Arabidopsis thaliana: one gene and its partners. The protein of the gene in region 3 interacts with the protein of the main gene of each other region in a pairwise test. Each region holds a gene or a part of one and is shown on either strand. Other genes may lie near its edges.

Region 1 (6,053 bases), 1.3 Mb from region 3:
TTGGACTTGGTGTCTTTTTATGTTCCTTGAATAAAGTGGAATGTTTTGCAACTACAATTGTTAGCTTCTACAAGTTTGAATGCTATTGTTTTGACTGTTGCTTTAAGATTGATGTTATGCACAAGGCTTATCTGTTTCTCCTTTGCAACTACTATAAGCTAATCAAGTAATCGTCAATGCAGAAAATGGGAGAGTCTACGGGGTGTGGGAAAGGAGGACTAATGATTCCAAATCATAAGTCTGCTAATTCTTATAACCTCTCCCTTGAGTTGTCTCTTGTTGACTCTGTTTGGGATTGTAATGTTCGGACCATGAGGTATTCCTATATACCTGAGTGGTTGTAGTCTTTGAAATCCTCTTAGACAACGAGTTTAGTGCATTTTACTTTAGTTGGAATCAAAGAGTTATAGCAAGCAATAATGGATCACACGTTGTGCAAGCAAGTTGTTCAGCCAGTTACTAGGAAAGTGAAGAAGCATGGTAAAGATGAATTTGATCGTATCAAACAAGCTGAGAAGAAAAAGAGACGTTTGGAGAAAGCTCTTGCTACTTCTGCAGCCATTCGGGCTGAGCTTGAAAAGAAGAAGCAGAAGAGATTGGAAGAACAACAAAGGTTAGATGAAGAAGGAGCTGCAATTGCAGAAGCTGTCGCTCTGCACGTCCTACTGGGCGAAGATTCTGATGATTCATCTCGAGTCAAGTTTGGCGAAGAAACGGGTTTCGGAATGGATCTGTTTAGAGATGAAAGAACCAACTATGTTCCTCGCCAAAGTTGTGCTAGCTATGCGGTTCAAGGGATTGGGTTTGTGTCAAATGGTTATGGACTAGGAGATAGTAACTGGTCAGTGTCATATAAGCCATTCATGAAGGATGTCTGGGATAACAACATGGTAATATCTGCAGATTTGATTGCTGCTCAGGCTGTTTCGTCACTACAGATATCTGAGGACGCTGATAGGAACGCTTATGTCTTCGAGACGATGTTCGGGGGATGACAAAAGCCATCGTGCCAAACTTGGCTGCAGAAACAAGTGTTTGCTATGAGTAGAGTTGCAGTTTTTTTCTTTATTCTAGAACCCCTTTTGGTGTGAAAATTCCTCCTCGTTGTTTATCTTTTGATGTTAGACTAGCTGAAAAGATGTTTTCTGAATTCTCTTTGTAACATTCACAAATACGTTCTAAGTTTTATACAGATTACAGAGTACCTCTTGAATCACGTGATTATCCAAATTCAGTCACAATTTCTAGTGTATTGAGACTAATAAACCTTTTGATGTTAAGATTTGACAGTAACAAGCGAGAATGATCTTAACAAAAGCACACGTGAGCTAAAAACTCAAGAAAAAATGACAGGTTCCAACGTTGATACAGAGTAATGGGTACAGACGAGGAGAATAGTGCGTGACTCTTAGACCGGTGGATATACAGCTAACCGAATGCATTGTGGTGGATCGGTACGGTTGCTACTGAAACAGTAGAACATCAGAGTCACGGCTTTGTTTCTTCTGATTGGTGACTGCATGATTTGCATCTTCATCTTTGTTCCCTATCTCTGTACTAGTGGAGGGTTTGGCTGTGTTAAGTAAGCCTTTGAGCCAACTACCTTGCAATCTCAAGTTCCCGCTGTCTGAATTGTTGAGAGTTCCCGGTCGTTGTGGAGAGCCATTGGAGCCATTGGTTACGTTCGAAGTAACATTCGAGAGGAAGCGATAAGCCACTTTACTAGCTGACACAAGTTCAGTTTTGGCTTGCTTCATCTGCAAAATCCCAATTTACAAGTTTTGAACACCCATAATGTTGCATTTACGTTGTAGAGAAGCTAAACAAAAGGGAACCCACCCGCATTGCTGTGTTTCCTGCCACTTCCAAGGCTGTGTCCCCAGCATTAGCAAAGCGATTAACCCAACCTGTTAAGAGACAGAACCCAAGCCGTCACATAAGCCTTGAAGACAAAACACACACACACACACACCAGATTCCCAAAAAATGGCTTTACCTGGGATCTTTGGCACACCAAGCCGGTCACAGAGTACATCGCAGAAGTGATTGCAATTTTTTGACAACAAATCATAAGTGTGTCCAGGCCATTCCCTGCTGAGTTCACGCAACATCTGATTCACCATGAAGATTGTGCAATCTGTTTTGCCAAGGACGATTTTCTCACGGTATGTGTACATTGGATTCTTTCCACTCGGGCAGCTGAATACACCAGTTCCTAGTTCACAATACCCGTAAGACCATTCATCGTTTCCATATACCTGCACAAAGGTCATAAAATATTCTATTCAATCACTCTTCCCTGCGAATCAATAGTCATCTACAAGACACAAAAAAATAACAAAACCATGAACAAGAATAATCAAATGATATTGCATAGATATACAGACCTAAGAACATAGAATGATTAGCACTAACTTGAAAACCTAAATTCTGGTAGTTTTGTTGGAATACACCAAATTGTCACGACTCAAATGGGAAAGTGGTATATGCAATTATATTTGCCCAGGTCAAAGATCACAGAAGTAAACGTAAGCCATCATTGGATTTAACAAGTCTCCAGAGAGCACTTGGTCAATATATCGCAATCATTATCATATGGAAAGTTACCAAAAGTACTAGGAAACACAAGATCCTGAGCAAAAGAGAGACTTCAGCTCCAGACCTTTAGGACCATAAACCATTAAACTAAAGCCTCACATATCAAAAGAAAAGTATCATGCCGTCAACTTCTTAATTTCCACATACATACACAGAAACAAAAACCAAATCTACATAAAGTAGACCAAAACCAAGCTTAGACATCATCGATAATTGTACATAAATGTAGATTCATAGAATATAGACGAAGAGTAGTACCTGAATAGCGCTGTGGAATATACCGCCAAGACCGATCCCGTCTTTGAAGAACCTATTGATCTGAACAATGGTGTTGTTAGTCTTCTCCGATCCACTGTTCGTCACATCGTATATATGCAGAACAACCTCCGTCATTGATTCTATATTTACCAAGCAACACGAACCCTAATTTCCTACCAAAAAGAGCTCGCAGATTCTCTCTATATAGAGCTTTTGGTGAAGAAGGAAACCTAAAGACTCGTACCAAATCCACTTCTCCGTTTAACGAATCCAACAACTACTAGATCTCCCCGAAAAGAAATCTAAAGGCACAAGATTAGACTTATCTTTCTTCTTCCGATTTCTCAATTTCAGACGTAGGAGATGAAGAAGAAACTGGTGCGGCGGTGGTGGTGGTGGTGGGGATCCACTGAAATGACAATTTTACCCTCGCTTTTCCTGCGGAATTGCTACTTTACGTGTCCCTTGTTAATTCCTTTTGTTTACAACTTAAGCACGCGTTTAGATTATGAATTTATGGTAACAAATTATATTAGTATGAACGTTGTTCGCAGTTGATTAAACGGGTCAACTACTGAACCTTTTTTCTTTCATTTAACTAACATTTCTTTAGCTAGACAAGTGTCCTTACCAAAACAAATCAAAAATACTAGTAAAGCATCTCTATAACAAAATAATGACTTAAGTAATCTGACACAACCAAGGAAGATGATTCATGACTATTAAAAAATGGGGTAAACAAAAAAAAAAGAGGGTAATCAATTGACCGATTCTTCCGATAATTTTCGAAAATGCAAAACGGACACAAGTCTGGTTTTCGTTAGCCATCTGATTCGTCTCGAATTAGTCCATCCATTCATACACCAAATTTATAATTTTGCTTCTATGTAAAAAAGTCAATCATAAAAACTTAATGACTTCTTTTTTATGGTACATACATATTGGGCCAATTGGGCCTAGGCCCAGTACAACAGATGGGATTCAGGAAATAAATTAGGACCAAAGAAATTCGACCAAGTTTTTTGTTATATCAAAAGTGTATTCAAAGTCTCATTTTGGTGGATGAATCTTGAATGGGATGCTCAAAGCACAAACAAAGCTTAGTCAAGTTGATAAACTTTGAATGCAAATTAAGCTCTTATATTTTATTGTAATGTAAGGTAACATGACACTTGTACATATTCGTGAAAGGCTCAAATTTTCTTTCTTACATGATAAATATTGCAAAGTTGGAACCGGAAGTCGACAAAAAAAAAAGTTGGAACCGGAAACATCTCAAAACAGTTATCGGGGGATCTAACGGCTGCTAATAGCCCTCATTAGGACCCACAAAATACTGGGAGTAGACGAAGTCGCACCGGCCAAGTCTCCAAAGTCCCAATTGAAAACTTACACTTGAAAAAAAAGTCAGACATCATTCGACACGTGTCCCCATTTCATTAGAAGTCGCGCTGCGTTTCTTTCTCTGTACTAGTTATAATTCCTTCTATTATCCTCTCTCTCTCGTCTTCTTCGTCTGCTCTTCTTTTTTATCTCTCGAAATTCCTCTCTCTTTCTCTCTGCATCAAAACAGCAACTTTACTTCTGCGTTTTTGTTTATCTCTCTGTATTATCCGATTAATTTAAAGGAGTTCTTTGAAGGCAGCTGCTTCTATGCCATATTGCCGAGGTTTGGATCTAAATTTCATCATCATCTTTGTTTCTCCGTTTATCTTCAATTTCCCTTTATCTTTTCAATATAATTGACTTATTTCGTTAAAAGTCTTTTTGATTAGCTTCCTCGGATCTTATGCTTATTCATGGATCTTAGACCTACATAATGGATTAAATCCGATTGTTTCTCTTATTGTTCTTGTTGAATTGAGGTTAATTTTGATCTGAAAATTAGTTTCTGCGGCAGATCTGGTGTCTGTATTTGTGTAATTTGTATCCATTAGTCTTAATTGAGTTATTAGCTGAGGATTAAGAGAGATCCTGAAATTTGCCGTGGAATTAACTCTTTCTGTGGATGGATGGATACCCTTTGTATTCTTCAACTTTGCTCCTACTCTGGGAAATTAGGGTTTGAGTAATCATTAGGTTTTACTCTTTGGCTGTTGTTGACTATCTTCAATCTAATTGGTGGCTGATTTTGTTTGACTTCTTTAGGACTTTTGGTGTCTTTCGAGGTCATTAGAACAATTGTGTCTGCTTGGTTGGTGGTCTATCTACAACTGTTAGCTTTTACAAGTTTGAATGCTATTGTTTTGGCTTTCAGATTTTGATGTTATGGATTTCTGTGTTACTACTCCTCTGCAACTTGAAACTAATCAAGTAATTGTCAATGCAGAAAATGGGCGAGTCTAAGGGGTGCGGGAATGTTGGACGAATGATTTCGAAGAATAAGTCTGCGAATTCTTATAACCTCTCTCTTCAGTTGTCTCCTGTTGTTTCTTTCTGGGATTGTATTGTCCGCACCATGAGGTATTCCTATATACCAGAGTGGGTGTAGTTCTTGAGTTCCTCTACAACATCATCGAGTTTAGTGCAGTTTTTTAGTTAGAAATTTATAGTCAAGCAATAATGGATCACACGGTGTGCAAGCAAGTTCAGCCAGTCGTTAGGAAAGCGAAGAAGAAGCATGGTAAAGATGAATTTGATCGTATCAAACAAGCTGAGAAGAAAAAGAGACGTTTGGAGAAAGCTCTTGCTACTTCTGCAGCCATCCGGGCTGAGCTTGAAAAGAAGAAGCAGAAGAGATTGGAAGAACAACAAAGGTTAGATGAAGAAGGAGCTGCAATTGCAGAAGCTGTTGCTCTGCACGTCCTACTGGGCGAAGATTCTGATGATTCATCTCGAGTCAAGTTTGGTGAAGAAAAGGGTTTCACAATGGATCTGTTTAGAGATGAAAGAACTAACTACGTTCCTCGCCAAAGCTGTGCTAGCTATGCGGTTCAAGGGATTGGGTTTGTGTCAAATGGCTATGGACTAGGAGATAGTAACTGGTCGCCATTCACGAGGAGGGGTGCTTGGGATAACAACATGGGAATATCAGCTGATTTGATTGCTGCTCAGGCTGTCTCGGCGCTACAGATATCTGAAAATGCTGATGGGAACGCCTTTGTGTTCAATGGGATGTTCCGGGGATGACAGATGCCACGACTCGTCCTCATTCGGTTTTTAAAATAAACATTTGCCTTCTGCTTGCTTTGGTGTCA
Region 2 (5,862 bases), 5.0 Mb from region 3:
TGTGGGATCGGGCCGCGTAGATCTCTGTAGAAGAGAGAAGAGAGTAAAAGCTTTTGGAGACTAAAGAGAGGGAACGGTAGTACGATTTAGAGATCAGGGCTAAGAAACTTAAAACGATTTCATCTGGAAGTGATGAAATCGACATAGATAATGGAGTTTGAGCTGTGAGAATCGTCTTCTTCGTTTCCTGAGGTGGTTCTACTTTGGCGGTGTCCATAGCAACGATACCGTGTTTACTAAGCTCAGGTTTTAGGTCTCAAATTAGGTCTTATATAAGACAATAGTAAAAAGGAAATATTTTCTCCTTAGTTAAAATTAATGAACAAGTCCCCTGAATTAAAATAAAATACCAAATCGCCCGTTTTTAAAACAGATTTCAGTATTGAACCCTGTTAAAACCGGTTTGAAAACTAAAGTAATATTAAAAACGATAACAATTAACAACACATCGTTATATATACATTATGTTGTGTTACTGGAATTTCGGTGTTCAGTTTTTTAAACCGAACTCACCAAATTCGTATAAGAAAATCTATGGATTTATCGTATAAAGAACTTTTCTATGCTGCTTTCAAACTTTTTTTAAGATCCCTCCCTTGATTTTGGTATACCTTCAAATGTACATGTATACACAAAAAAAAAATGAAAGACAGAAAGATACACTTACACAATGTAACTTGCTTGATGATTCATAGTCATAGGATTTGAGACTTCTCTAACAATGCACTAAACTAGTCTCTTTCTTGGAAGATTTCTTGATGGAGACACGAGTAAGCTTTAGGGGAAAGAAGAATTTATCATGTTTCAGGTGACTCGTTCACACGATTGTGCAGGTATACTGACAATATTTCTATTTTTTATTAGAAAAATATGGATTTGGTCATAAATATCTAATTTTCTGGAAAAAAAAAAGAGAAAAAAGAAACACCAACGAAGACAAATGAATGAAGAGTAAAATAAAATTAGAGAACAACAGGGAAAGAAAAAGACATGTTGCATGAATGAAAAAGAATGGTCGTATTAGAGTAGTTTGCTAAATGATTTATTTAAAGAATGTGCATTATAGTATTAACAAAATCTTTTCATGTCTTTTTAAAAGCCAACGCTCTAGAGTTGACTCTATGTATTTCTTCTTCTTCTTCTTCATGATATGAAGTCTGACCCCCAACAAAAAAGGATGAAAGTATTTTTGGGGAAATGGTCATTTATCGCTTCTGGATAAGCTACTCGCATTTCGAAACTATATTGTACTAATACTAAAATTACGACTTACGAAAGATGACACAATTAATAACAAAAAGATGCTTTTATCAGATTCTATAATAAATGTTGTTTCCTATCGGATCAACATGCATGCACTTTGACAAATCGGGTAGAAAATTTCCTTCCTTCGGATTGAATCATAAAAATATGTTTTACCTAAGCAATCTCCATAATATTATCAGAAAATTTGGTATCAACACTTATTCGCAAGTAATGATATTTATATATTTGATTTGATTTATACTTATCTGCAACAACAATTAGAAAAAATACTAAGAGATCCAATGTAAACATAACTTTATATTATCTATATTTATTAATTGAAAGATGTCTAAGTTTTATTGGTTAAGTAATAATGGACAGCAAAAAAAAAGATAACTTCTATGCATAAAATTAGACAAGAGATATAGCAATATGGTTAAGAACTTGAGATTCTTAAGAACCTCACGTGTGATGCAAACAATGACACGCAATAACGCGTTTTAACTGACAACTTTCTTTCTTTATTTTTGTCTCTTAAATTTCTTTTCCTTTAAGTGGTTACAGATTTCTACTTTCGATTCTCGTCGACTCTAAAAATCTCACTCGTATTTGTATAACCGTCCCACGTTGTTGTCCACTTCTGGAAGATAAGTGAGGTGTGTGATTGATTGCCGTTTCCAACCTCTTTTCAATTAAATGCTTCTCTCTATCTTCAATTGGTAATATTGGCTTTGGTCAATTCATCATCATCATCATATTATTATTATACCAAAGACAATGTCACATGAACCTTATAATATACACAACTGTTATACCTTATAAACAAAAATAAAAATCAACATTTTATTCATTTTTCTCCGCTCATCACATTTCTCTCCCTCTTCCGATTCTCCTGGTATATCTCTCTCTCTCTTTCTCTTTATTTCTCTGTTTGTTGATTGATTGCATTTTTGTGTGAATTAAAAGTTTGGTTCTTTGATCCACAAATAGATTCTTGATCTCGATCAGAATCGTGGGTTTGCTTTTGTTTTAAGAATTAATTCAATGATCGATGATGAAACTGATTGATACTGTTTTATTGTCATATGCTCTGTTTCTTTGCTCTGTTCTAAGGAAATTTTGTGACAAACGACAATCATGGAAAACGAAATTTCAACCTATTAAAAAAATATTATCCACAAGGGTGGGCCTTGGAAGTTTTTGTCTGTTCAAGAAAACAAGCCGGTCAAAATAATCTACCTTTTAACTCTGGTCTAAGTCAATAACTGAGTGCTTCCACCGTTGAAATTTAGTATCTCACTGGAAAATTGTACTTGGAAATTGCATGGTCGGTCCATGAAAGTATTAAGGAGAAGAAACAAACCAAAAGTCGTCTTTTTGTATCTCTCTATACCTATACATTTTATGATTTGATTGGTTTTGTGGGGATCAATTTCACTATTACTCGTAAGAAATTTCTTTATGGATATGTTTTGGTGAATCTCTCTCTGCTTCTCACAATCTCCCTCTTTACTTTTTTTCTTTCATCATATAAAGGGTTGGTGAAATATGAATGGAATCCAATTTCGTTGGGAGGTTGTTGTATATTATAAGTTTTTAGTGTCTAATCTTTTTGAACTATTTGTTGAAATTAAGGTGTAAAGGTTTGACCACTTACTTACCCTTAATGTGATATGTTCAGTCCTTTGACACCACAAATTTGAAGTTCTTGTGTTGTTCTTTGAGTTTGTCTTCTTTGAGCTGATTAGTTATCTTGATTTTGTTGCAGTTGTTCCATTCATCAAAAAGCTATGGATTTCAATAGAAAAGCTCATCCAGATTGCGTATATGCGGATAATCCTTTCCATGAATGTGCTTCAGCTTGTTTAGAGAAAATTGCTCAAGGCCATGTCAAGAAGAACACTAAGAAGCAAAGTACTTTTTTCTGCTTTTGATTTTGCCATTTTAAAAACTTTTCCTTTATGGATTCTGATTCTTGTTCTGTTATGTTACAGGTTCAAGGCTTCTTAGCTTCTCAGGGAGTTTCGGTAGGAAAAAGAAGGAGTCGAATTCACAACCGCCTACACCGCTATCCGCAAGGCCTTATCAAAACGGCAGAGGCGGTTTTGCAAATGGTAATTCCCCAAAGGTTCATCATTCTGTAGCTCCACCTGCTTCCGTGAAGAAGAAGATTGTTTCTGAAACGAAAAATTCTTTCACTTCTTCATCATCCGGTGATCCGGATGATTTCTTCAACCATAAACCAGAGAAGAAACCTTCTCAAACCATTCCCCTTTCATCAAACAATTTGGTATCTCATCCTTTACTCTCTTCCATGATTTCGACCACCATATCTTTACCATATTTGTAAACATCAAGATTCTTGTATCTTATGAAGGTTGATCAAAGCAAAGTGGTATCACCTAAACCGGGAATACAAGAACACAATGGGAAGATTGGAGAAGGCGGCGAAACTAGACTCTTTAGTTTCCTAAGCCTTCCAAGATCGCCTGGAAAAGAGAGCAATGATGATTTTTCTGATGATGATGACGAAAACAACAATGAGATTGGTGTAGAGCTCGATCTCGAATCAGTAATGTCTGACACTTTTGTCTCTGTCGGGAAATACCGAGTCAGATCGGGTTCATCCACTATACTAAGTGCTGTCATCGAAAAGCACGGAGACATTGCTCAAAACTGTAAGCTGGAATCGGATTCAATGCGATCACGTTACCTCGAGTGTTTATGCTCACTGATGCAGGAACTTAGGTCAACCCCGGTAGGGCAGTTGAGCAAAGTCAAGGTCAAAGAGATGCTTGCGGTTCTCAAAGACTTGGAGTCTGTGAACATTGAAGTAGCTTGGCTACGTTCTGTTCTTGAAGAGTTTGCGCAGTCTCAAGAAGATGTAGAAAATGAGAAAGAGAGGCATGATGGTTTAGTGAAGGCTAAGAGAGAAGAGCTTGAGGCTCAAGAAACGGATTTGGTTAGGATGGAGAAGGAAGTGGTGGAAGTGAAGCGGCGGATTGAGGAGACGCGGGCTCAGATGGTTGAGATCGAAGCAGAACGGTTGAGGATGGAGAAAATGGGATTCAAAATGGAGAAATTTAAAGGGAAATCGTTTATAGATGAGCTTCTGTGAGTTTGAGTTGTGTGTGATGTTGTTAGTAGTAAGCCAAGGGTAGTAGGTAATAGCACAAAATCAAAAATGCTCTAATAAATGAGTTTTTAAGGTTAGGGTTTTTAAGTATTATGGGAAAGCTGGTATTTATTGGTAACTTATAAAAAATATTAAGATATTTGGTTGTTGCTAATAAATACGTTTTGATTTGTGTGATGCATTTTTCTTTGGTTATGTTTTTTTTTTTTTGGTTTCTTTCGTTTTCTATAATGGGAAAGATTACAAGTTGCCTTCGAGTTTGGAAAACGAAAGATTGTTTATTAAAAATTAAATTCACAACTATATTTATTGTGTTAGTTATAGCAGAACTTGTTGAATATTGTATAGTATAGTTCTTTTAAATATGTGTATAGAAAATGTCAAAACAACACTTTTGCAAAATAAAGGAATGAATAATTTTGTTGAGTTCATTCTTTATTACACTCAATTTGAGCTCTACTCTTCGATTTTTTTGTTACTTTGTTTTTGTCGAAAAGTAGATGTTATTCCATAACGATGATTTTTAGGGGATTTTAAAGCCAAATATATCTTATGTTTTTATGTTATTCACTAGTTGATTTTGTTACATAATTGTTAGATTTGATATTTTTAAAAGTAACAAAGTATCGTACTCTGCTTTTAAACCGTTTGCAACGGACAAATCAATCTGTTATTTGCGACAATGCTACTGGGCTTCAGTTACTCATGTCGGCTTTACACCGAGCCCACTGAAACATGGCCCAACGGGAAGCTCCCCGTTGGGTTTGCTCACGAAACGAAGATTTAAGTGTAAACCGGAGAAGTTGAACCAGAAACCTCCAGATAAAGGTTTGTGGACCACAAATTGTGCTTGGTTTTGTTGCACAATGTGAGTAAGTAATTATAAATAACCTCATTGGAGATTCAGATCTTAACTAATAGACAGCAGTTACTTCAATCGTCTTTACTAGAAAAAATAAAATAAAATCTTTAAGTAGGCTCCAAAGGCTTTCACAAGATGGCAAATGACCTCAAAAAAACAAATTAGTTATCACGTGAAATCACCTTGACAGCCAATTTTTCCAGACACATAAAAAATAATCCGTAACATGGAATGATTAAAAAAGTTCGCAACTTTTAAAAAGTCTGAATTAGTGATTTATATCCAAAGTTGAAGATGTTTTTTGTCAACATATTATGACATCATTTCTTTCAAAAAAATGGACAGACAACTAAGTTTCACACTCAGCTGCTGTCTGTTTCAAGTTTATGTTTTTAGCTATACAGCATCAGATCGGTTAAAGTAAATCGGTTTAGGGATAAGCAGAGGGGTGAACCGGCCGGTCACATAAGGTATTTTGCAACTTGCAAAATTGCTATTATCCAGAACCAATAAAGCAATAGCTATTATAAAACAAAATTTAAGGCCCAACTATATGATGGTTCATACTTCATAAGCTGCTAGGGTTTACAAAGTTCAAAATGAGTGGACCATATTGAAG
Region 3 (5,364 bases):
AATGTAAAATTATACATATGAACTTTGAATAAAATATATTGTTGTGAATTTATATTATTTAGAATTCTTTTTTGGTGAATTCCCCAGAAAAAATCTTCGGATTTTGTTAATAAGAATCTAAAAATAAATTAATTACGGACTTGTCGCGGAAAAGTAGTTCCTTCAACATCATCCCTCATAATCGTCTCAACGCAAAGCGAAATAGAAGAAAAAGCATGAAAACCTAACTATACAGTTAGGTTCTCAATACACGTGAGAAATTCTATGTGTGACATGCCGGTACGTCTTGTTACATAATCTTATTATATGTACTGTAGTTATGGACATATAGCGAGCATATTTCACGTTAAAACTTAAAAAGTATTGTAGACGAGATGGATAATGTTTGATTTGTGTCTAGAAAATATAATTATAGGCGAGGTGGATCACATCGTGGAGACTCTTAATTAGATATTAATAATGTAGAAGTAGTGAAGAGAAAATGTGTTTGGTTGAGACGTATAAATTGAAAGCCTTTTGCTGATAAAATCACAAAGAGAGATCAGCAATGAGGAGCTTGAGGTTGAGAACAGTTGTTGTTGCTACAATAGTCGTTTGTCTATCGGTCCTCCTATCTCCCACCGGTACGTAAAATCAAGATCTCTAACTACATAGATACACAAGTTTTTGTTATAAATGTATGTGGCTGTTCGTGTCGACAGAAGTGGATGGAAGCTGTGACTTCCCATTAGGTGCTTGTACTCCTTTCCGTGATTGCAAGGAGAGTTGCATCAAGTTCAAAACGAGGGCTGGACAGACTTTTTTTGATGGCAAGTGCCGTCCAAGGGATAGGCCGAGCGTGTGGACGGCTTGTTTCTGCTGCTATTATGATAGTATCGGTGCTCAATAAGAAAACATGTGATTCCGAAACCATATAATCGACATCGCTTTGTTCTACTCTGCTTTGCTTTTGTTTGTTGTACTCTGCTTAATCCAATAACAGAGATAACGTTTCGAATAAAGGTTGGATGTTTTGTGACAATTCAGGAACAGAGAGATGATAAGTCAAGCTACACCCACATAGTTCCATGCAGAGAAAATTATAATGTCAAAATTGAAAATTGAAAATTTGTCTGTCAAAGTTGTAATTTATAAACCTCCCAAAGAAGAGAGAAAACATTACATCACATCGGTGCATAAAACAGCAAAAACTACAGGGCCGAAGCAAAATCATTCTTACACGTTTCTGTGAACAGAGTTTATTCTAAAATACTCCTTAAGTCTTGAACATTACAACATACCATAGGTTGTATGTATCATCCTCTTCTACTTCTCCCCTGTTTTCACCATCATATACACATTATGGTATACACACTAGTAAAAGGAATCAAGCCTGTGTGGTTTCTCCTGCTGCTGCAGCACCATTTGTCTTCACACGCTTCTCCTTGTAGTCTTTCACAGCTGCCTTGATAGCGTCCTCCGCCAACATACTGCAGTGGAGCTTGACTGGTGGGAGAGAAAGATGCTTTGCGATTTCGCTGGCAAAATAAATCACAGAAAGAGAAGCACACATTCAGAGTAAGTCTTCAGATATTGAGAAACTCCATGACAGAAATCACAATGTTTACTTTGTCTAAGAAAAAGAAGTCAAGAGGTCTGCATCATTATAGGCTGGAAAACCTTAAATACCATACAAACCAAACCAGTAACCAATCTCAGACCAATTGACCAAAATCCAGTAACTAAGTTCATCTAAACAAAATAATCACATTACTTCGTCTCAGGTATGTCAACATTCAATGAGTGCAGCAATTAGATAACACGAGTGTTCATATTTATGTTAAAAATCTGCAAAACATGAATAGGAACACAGGGCATACTAACCAGCAACCAATATTGTACCAACAGACAAAGTCCAGTGACCAAGTTCCTCAAAACAAAATAACAGTCATGAAACACAGTAACTGGTATATCAACATTTAATGAGTTTAACCAATTAGACAACACTGATTGGCATAACACAACAACTCACAACAGATTATGTTAATATCTGCATAAAATGAATAGAAACAGACGGTACTTACGTGTTTTTGATGGTCAGAACATCCTCCATAGCTTTGCCTTTCACCCATTCAGTGGCTGAAAAAAACGTAAAAATGAATCATACATTAGATAACAGCAACAAATCCCCAGAGAGAAGATAGCTCCCACATAGAAGCTAAGCCAGAAACTGACGACATCGCATCAAAAAGATGAAATCTTTCTCAATAACATTAGGAGACTAGGAGTATTACAAATTCAGCATTGAATCACCAATAAAAACGTCTCAACTGACCAAATCATGCACTAATTTGTCATTAACGACACCAATCCCAAATTTGAACACCGAATCTCTACACGAACCCATCAATTTAAAACCTAATTTCTCCATTTGAGAAAGACTAATCAAAATCCCTAATTGAAATCATTTAATTTCTCTAATTCAATCCTCAATCGAACAAAACACGAAATTAGAATATAAACATACCAACAGATGAAGAAGCGATGGCTGAACCACAACCAAAAGTCTTAAAGCGAGCATCAACGATTTGACCAGTCTTCTCATCGACCTTGATTTGAAGCTTCATCACATCACCACAAGCGGGAGCTCCTACGAGTCCCGTACCAACGTTGGGATCATTCTTATCGAAAGACCCAACGTTGCGGGGATTATCGTAGTGGTCGATGACGTTCTCATGGTAGGTTCGGAGGATACCAACAGACCACGGTGTTGATTGACGTGACGTAAGCCCTAGGGCCTTCTTCGCAGCTTGCTTGAGCATCATCGTGTTTTTTTTAGGGTTTCGGAAGTAACTTTTGCTCCGCTGATTTTGGTAATGAGAAATGAGATCGGACTTTTCCTTTAAGGGTTGTGAGAAGAAGTCGGTTTGGTTTCAGACAGAGAGATAAGCGAGGGGACACGTGGACGGTTTAGATGGTTCTGAGATATTTGCTATTTCTTTTTTCTTTTCTTTTTTTCCTTTGATTTTTTCTTTTAGTATTAGCTAACTTGAGACGCTAACCTAAACTTTAGATTGAGATTTTGATAAGTTGACTTTTTCTTTTCAATTATATTTTTGATATCCTTCAAATGTTATAGTTTATAAGACCTATCGCTCATAAATCGTACTTTTCAAGTTTACAATTGAATCGGAACATACTTCTTTTACGCAAACAATAGTCATGATGATTTAGTATGTGTATAGAAAGTTCTCAAATTTCAAGTGATGAAACAGTCTATTTAAAATTAACCTTAATTCATTAACGTATAGTTAATCATAACAATTAAACCTATAAGTTATAGGCTATAACAACATTATAGGCGAATGTCTTCGTCTAGATAAGTTGTGAGGAGCCATCTACGACTGTGCATTGTCCTATGGTAAACATATATTTGGTTAATGGTTGATCTTGATCATTTGAAAAGTCGTTTTGCAACATTAACAAATATATTTGTCTGTTATTTTTAGACGGCACCACCGGAACGGATTGGAAGCAAGATCAAGTAATAGATCTGAGATTTGGAAAGCTTCTCGTGAAGCGAGTTAGATAGCAAATTAAGTTGAGGATTGAGAAATATGGATTTTAAAATATATTAATATGTATTTTTTAAAGTAGTACATATAGATTCGTAAATATAAAGTTATTTTAAGACACGAGTTCATTATGCATCTATACCGTGAAACATGTGGTACCGAGAAACAAACAAAAATTTAAGTTTCATTATGCATGCAATTGGTTTCAGATATAATATTTTTTTTTGGACAAAGGTTTCAGATATACTAATAAAAAGCAAAAACAAACAAACAAATATGATTGAAGGAAAAATGAATCAATGATGATGATGAGCGCTTGGTCTCCGTTGATTTAGCATCTACCACTTTCTTTGGCATTGTTGATTAGTATCTAAAAGTTGACTAATTTAATGAAGAAATCAAACGAAAGATTCTAAATATCTATCTTTATCTACACAATACAATAGTATTGATCATCTACAATAAGAGTCGGGGGTGTATTCAGTTAACTATTTAAAATGATTTGTCTTAAAATCATATATCTTACGTCATTTTAATCCCAACGACTTGTCCAGTGCTAGCTATAAATTAAAAACTCGCCTTTTGCCTAAATGAATCAATCACAAAGAGAGAGAGGGAAACAAAATAGAAAGAAAGAAGCTAAGAACTAATAAGCAATTAATGGGGAGCTTAAGGTTGAGCACAGTCGCTATTGCAGTAGTCGTTTGTCTCTCCATTCTCCTCATATCTCCTACAGGTACGTAAAAAAAACCAAAGTCTTTGATCCCAAGATCTAAAATAAAACATGTTTATAAAATGTAGTATCTTCCTATTGATTGGACAGAAGTAGATGGGAGGCAAGTGTGTGACTACGATAAAGGTGAATGTAATAGTTATGAGAAGAGCTCTACTTGTATTGAACCATGCAAGCAATTGGACAGCAAGTTTATTGGAGGCCGATGCATACCTGTTGGTGGTATTACTGGTATGGGGTTATGTGTTTGCTGCCGTGATGTACAGCGTGGTGCTGAAAAGGAAAGCATGTGATTTGCAAATGATACAAAACGACGTCACTTTGTGTCTGTGTTTTGCGATTTGCATGTTAATGATTTCAGCTCAAAATCTATATTTGAGTGTTTGCCTTCTACAGATCTGTTTGTTTTGAATTGTCAAGTCTTAAATAAAGTTGGATTGTTTTCCGATTATGACCTGACCTATTCATCATATTTTTTTATTTTTTTTATTTTTGTCTAATTGAAATCTAAATCGGAGGGGAAAAAATCAACAAAAAGAATTTTATACGAGTACATTAATTCTTGCAAATGTTAAATTATCCGTCTTATGATTTATACAAATAAGAATTGAATTAAGGGAGAAACTGATAAATACTTGTTCCTAACAAAGTTTAATAGATGTGTTGAGAAAACACACTTGTCCGTCGGTATAGACACTTATTCACCAATTTAGAACAATATGTAGATGTAGTTAGCTAGTTTATTAACTATAGTTTTTCTATTTAGCTAATTGATTTTATTTAGCATTTACCACTTTTTTTGGCATTGTTGATTACTATCTAAAAGTTGACTAAACAAAATACGTGTTTAACGTTTTTTTAGCTGTCATAATATAGTAATATACAATTCGAGTTGGTATAATAAATATCTGATCGCATCTAAAAGGAAATAGTGAATGGAACGACTTACAAAGAAGTATAATAATCCAACTATTTTTAAAATATCTCCTCCATGCATCCAGATCTGAGATTTGAAAATCTTCTCGGGAACCGGATCGGAGTGAAATTAGTTATACAATTTACAACTATATATAAATT

What was found. The genes of interacting proteins can lie anywhere in the genome.
Region 1: the proteins of ISU1 (region 3) and AT4G25680 interact in a two-hybrid assay, tested with the Arabidopsis thaliana proteins (one large-scale study listed by BioGRID).
Region 2: the proteins of ISU1 (region 3) and AT4G35110 interact in a two-hybrid assay, tested with the Arabidopsis thaliana proteins (one large-scale study listed by BioGRID).

The regions. Positions count from the first base shown.
Region 1 is NC_003075.7:13,085,363-13,091,415, reverse strand, and holds AT4G25680 (PPPDE putative thiol peptidase family protein), read right to left. Parts: upstream 3,444-6,053; 5' UTR 2,992-3,443; coding exon 2,857-2,991; intron 2,259-2,856; coding exon 1,997-2,258; intron 1,908-1,996; coding exon 1,840-1,907; intron 1,758-1,839; coding exon 1,464-1,757; 3' UTR 1,255-1,463; downstream 1-1,254. Other genes in the region: AT4G25690 (stress response NST1-like protein), read left to right, coding at 420-995; AT4G25670 (stress response NST1-like protein), read left to right, coding at 5,419-5,985.
Region 2 is NC_003075.7:16,711,161-16,717,022, reverse strand, and holds AT4G35110 (phospholipase-like protein (PEARLI 4) family protein), read left to right. Parts: upstream 1-2,231; 5' UTR 2,232-2,706; coding exon of another isoform or gene 2,707-2,720; 5' UTR 2,721-2,797; coding exon 2,798-2,820; exon of another isoform or gene 2,821-3,013; coding exon 3,014-3,159; intron 3,160-3,239; coding exon 3,240-3,535; intron 3,536-3,622; coding exon 3,623-4,363; 3' UTR 4,364-4,608; downstream 4,609-5,862. Other genes in the region: AT4G35120 (Galactose oxidase/kelch repeat superfamily protein), read right to left, coding at 1-217.
Region 3 is NC_003075.7:11,758,078-11,763,441, forward strand, and holds ISU1 (SufE/NifU family protein), read right to left. Parts: upstream 2,981-5,364; 5' UTR 2,805-2,980; coding exon 2,507-2,804; intron 2,119-2,506; coding exon 2,064-2,118; intron 1,518-2,063; coding exon 1,367-1,517; 3' UTR 1,026-1,366; downstream 1-1,025. Other genes in the region: AT4G22217 (defensin-like protein), read left to right, coding at 548-623, 702-889; AT4G22230 (defensin-like protein), read left to right, coding at 4,215-4,290, 4,378-4,580. UniProt on the Arabidopsis thaliana protein: Scaffold protein for the de novo synthesis of iron-sulfur (Fe-S) clusters within mitochondria, which is required for maturation of both mitochondrial and cytoplasmic [2Fe-2S] and [4Fe-4S] proteins.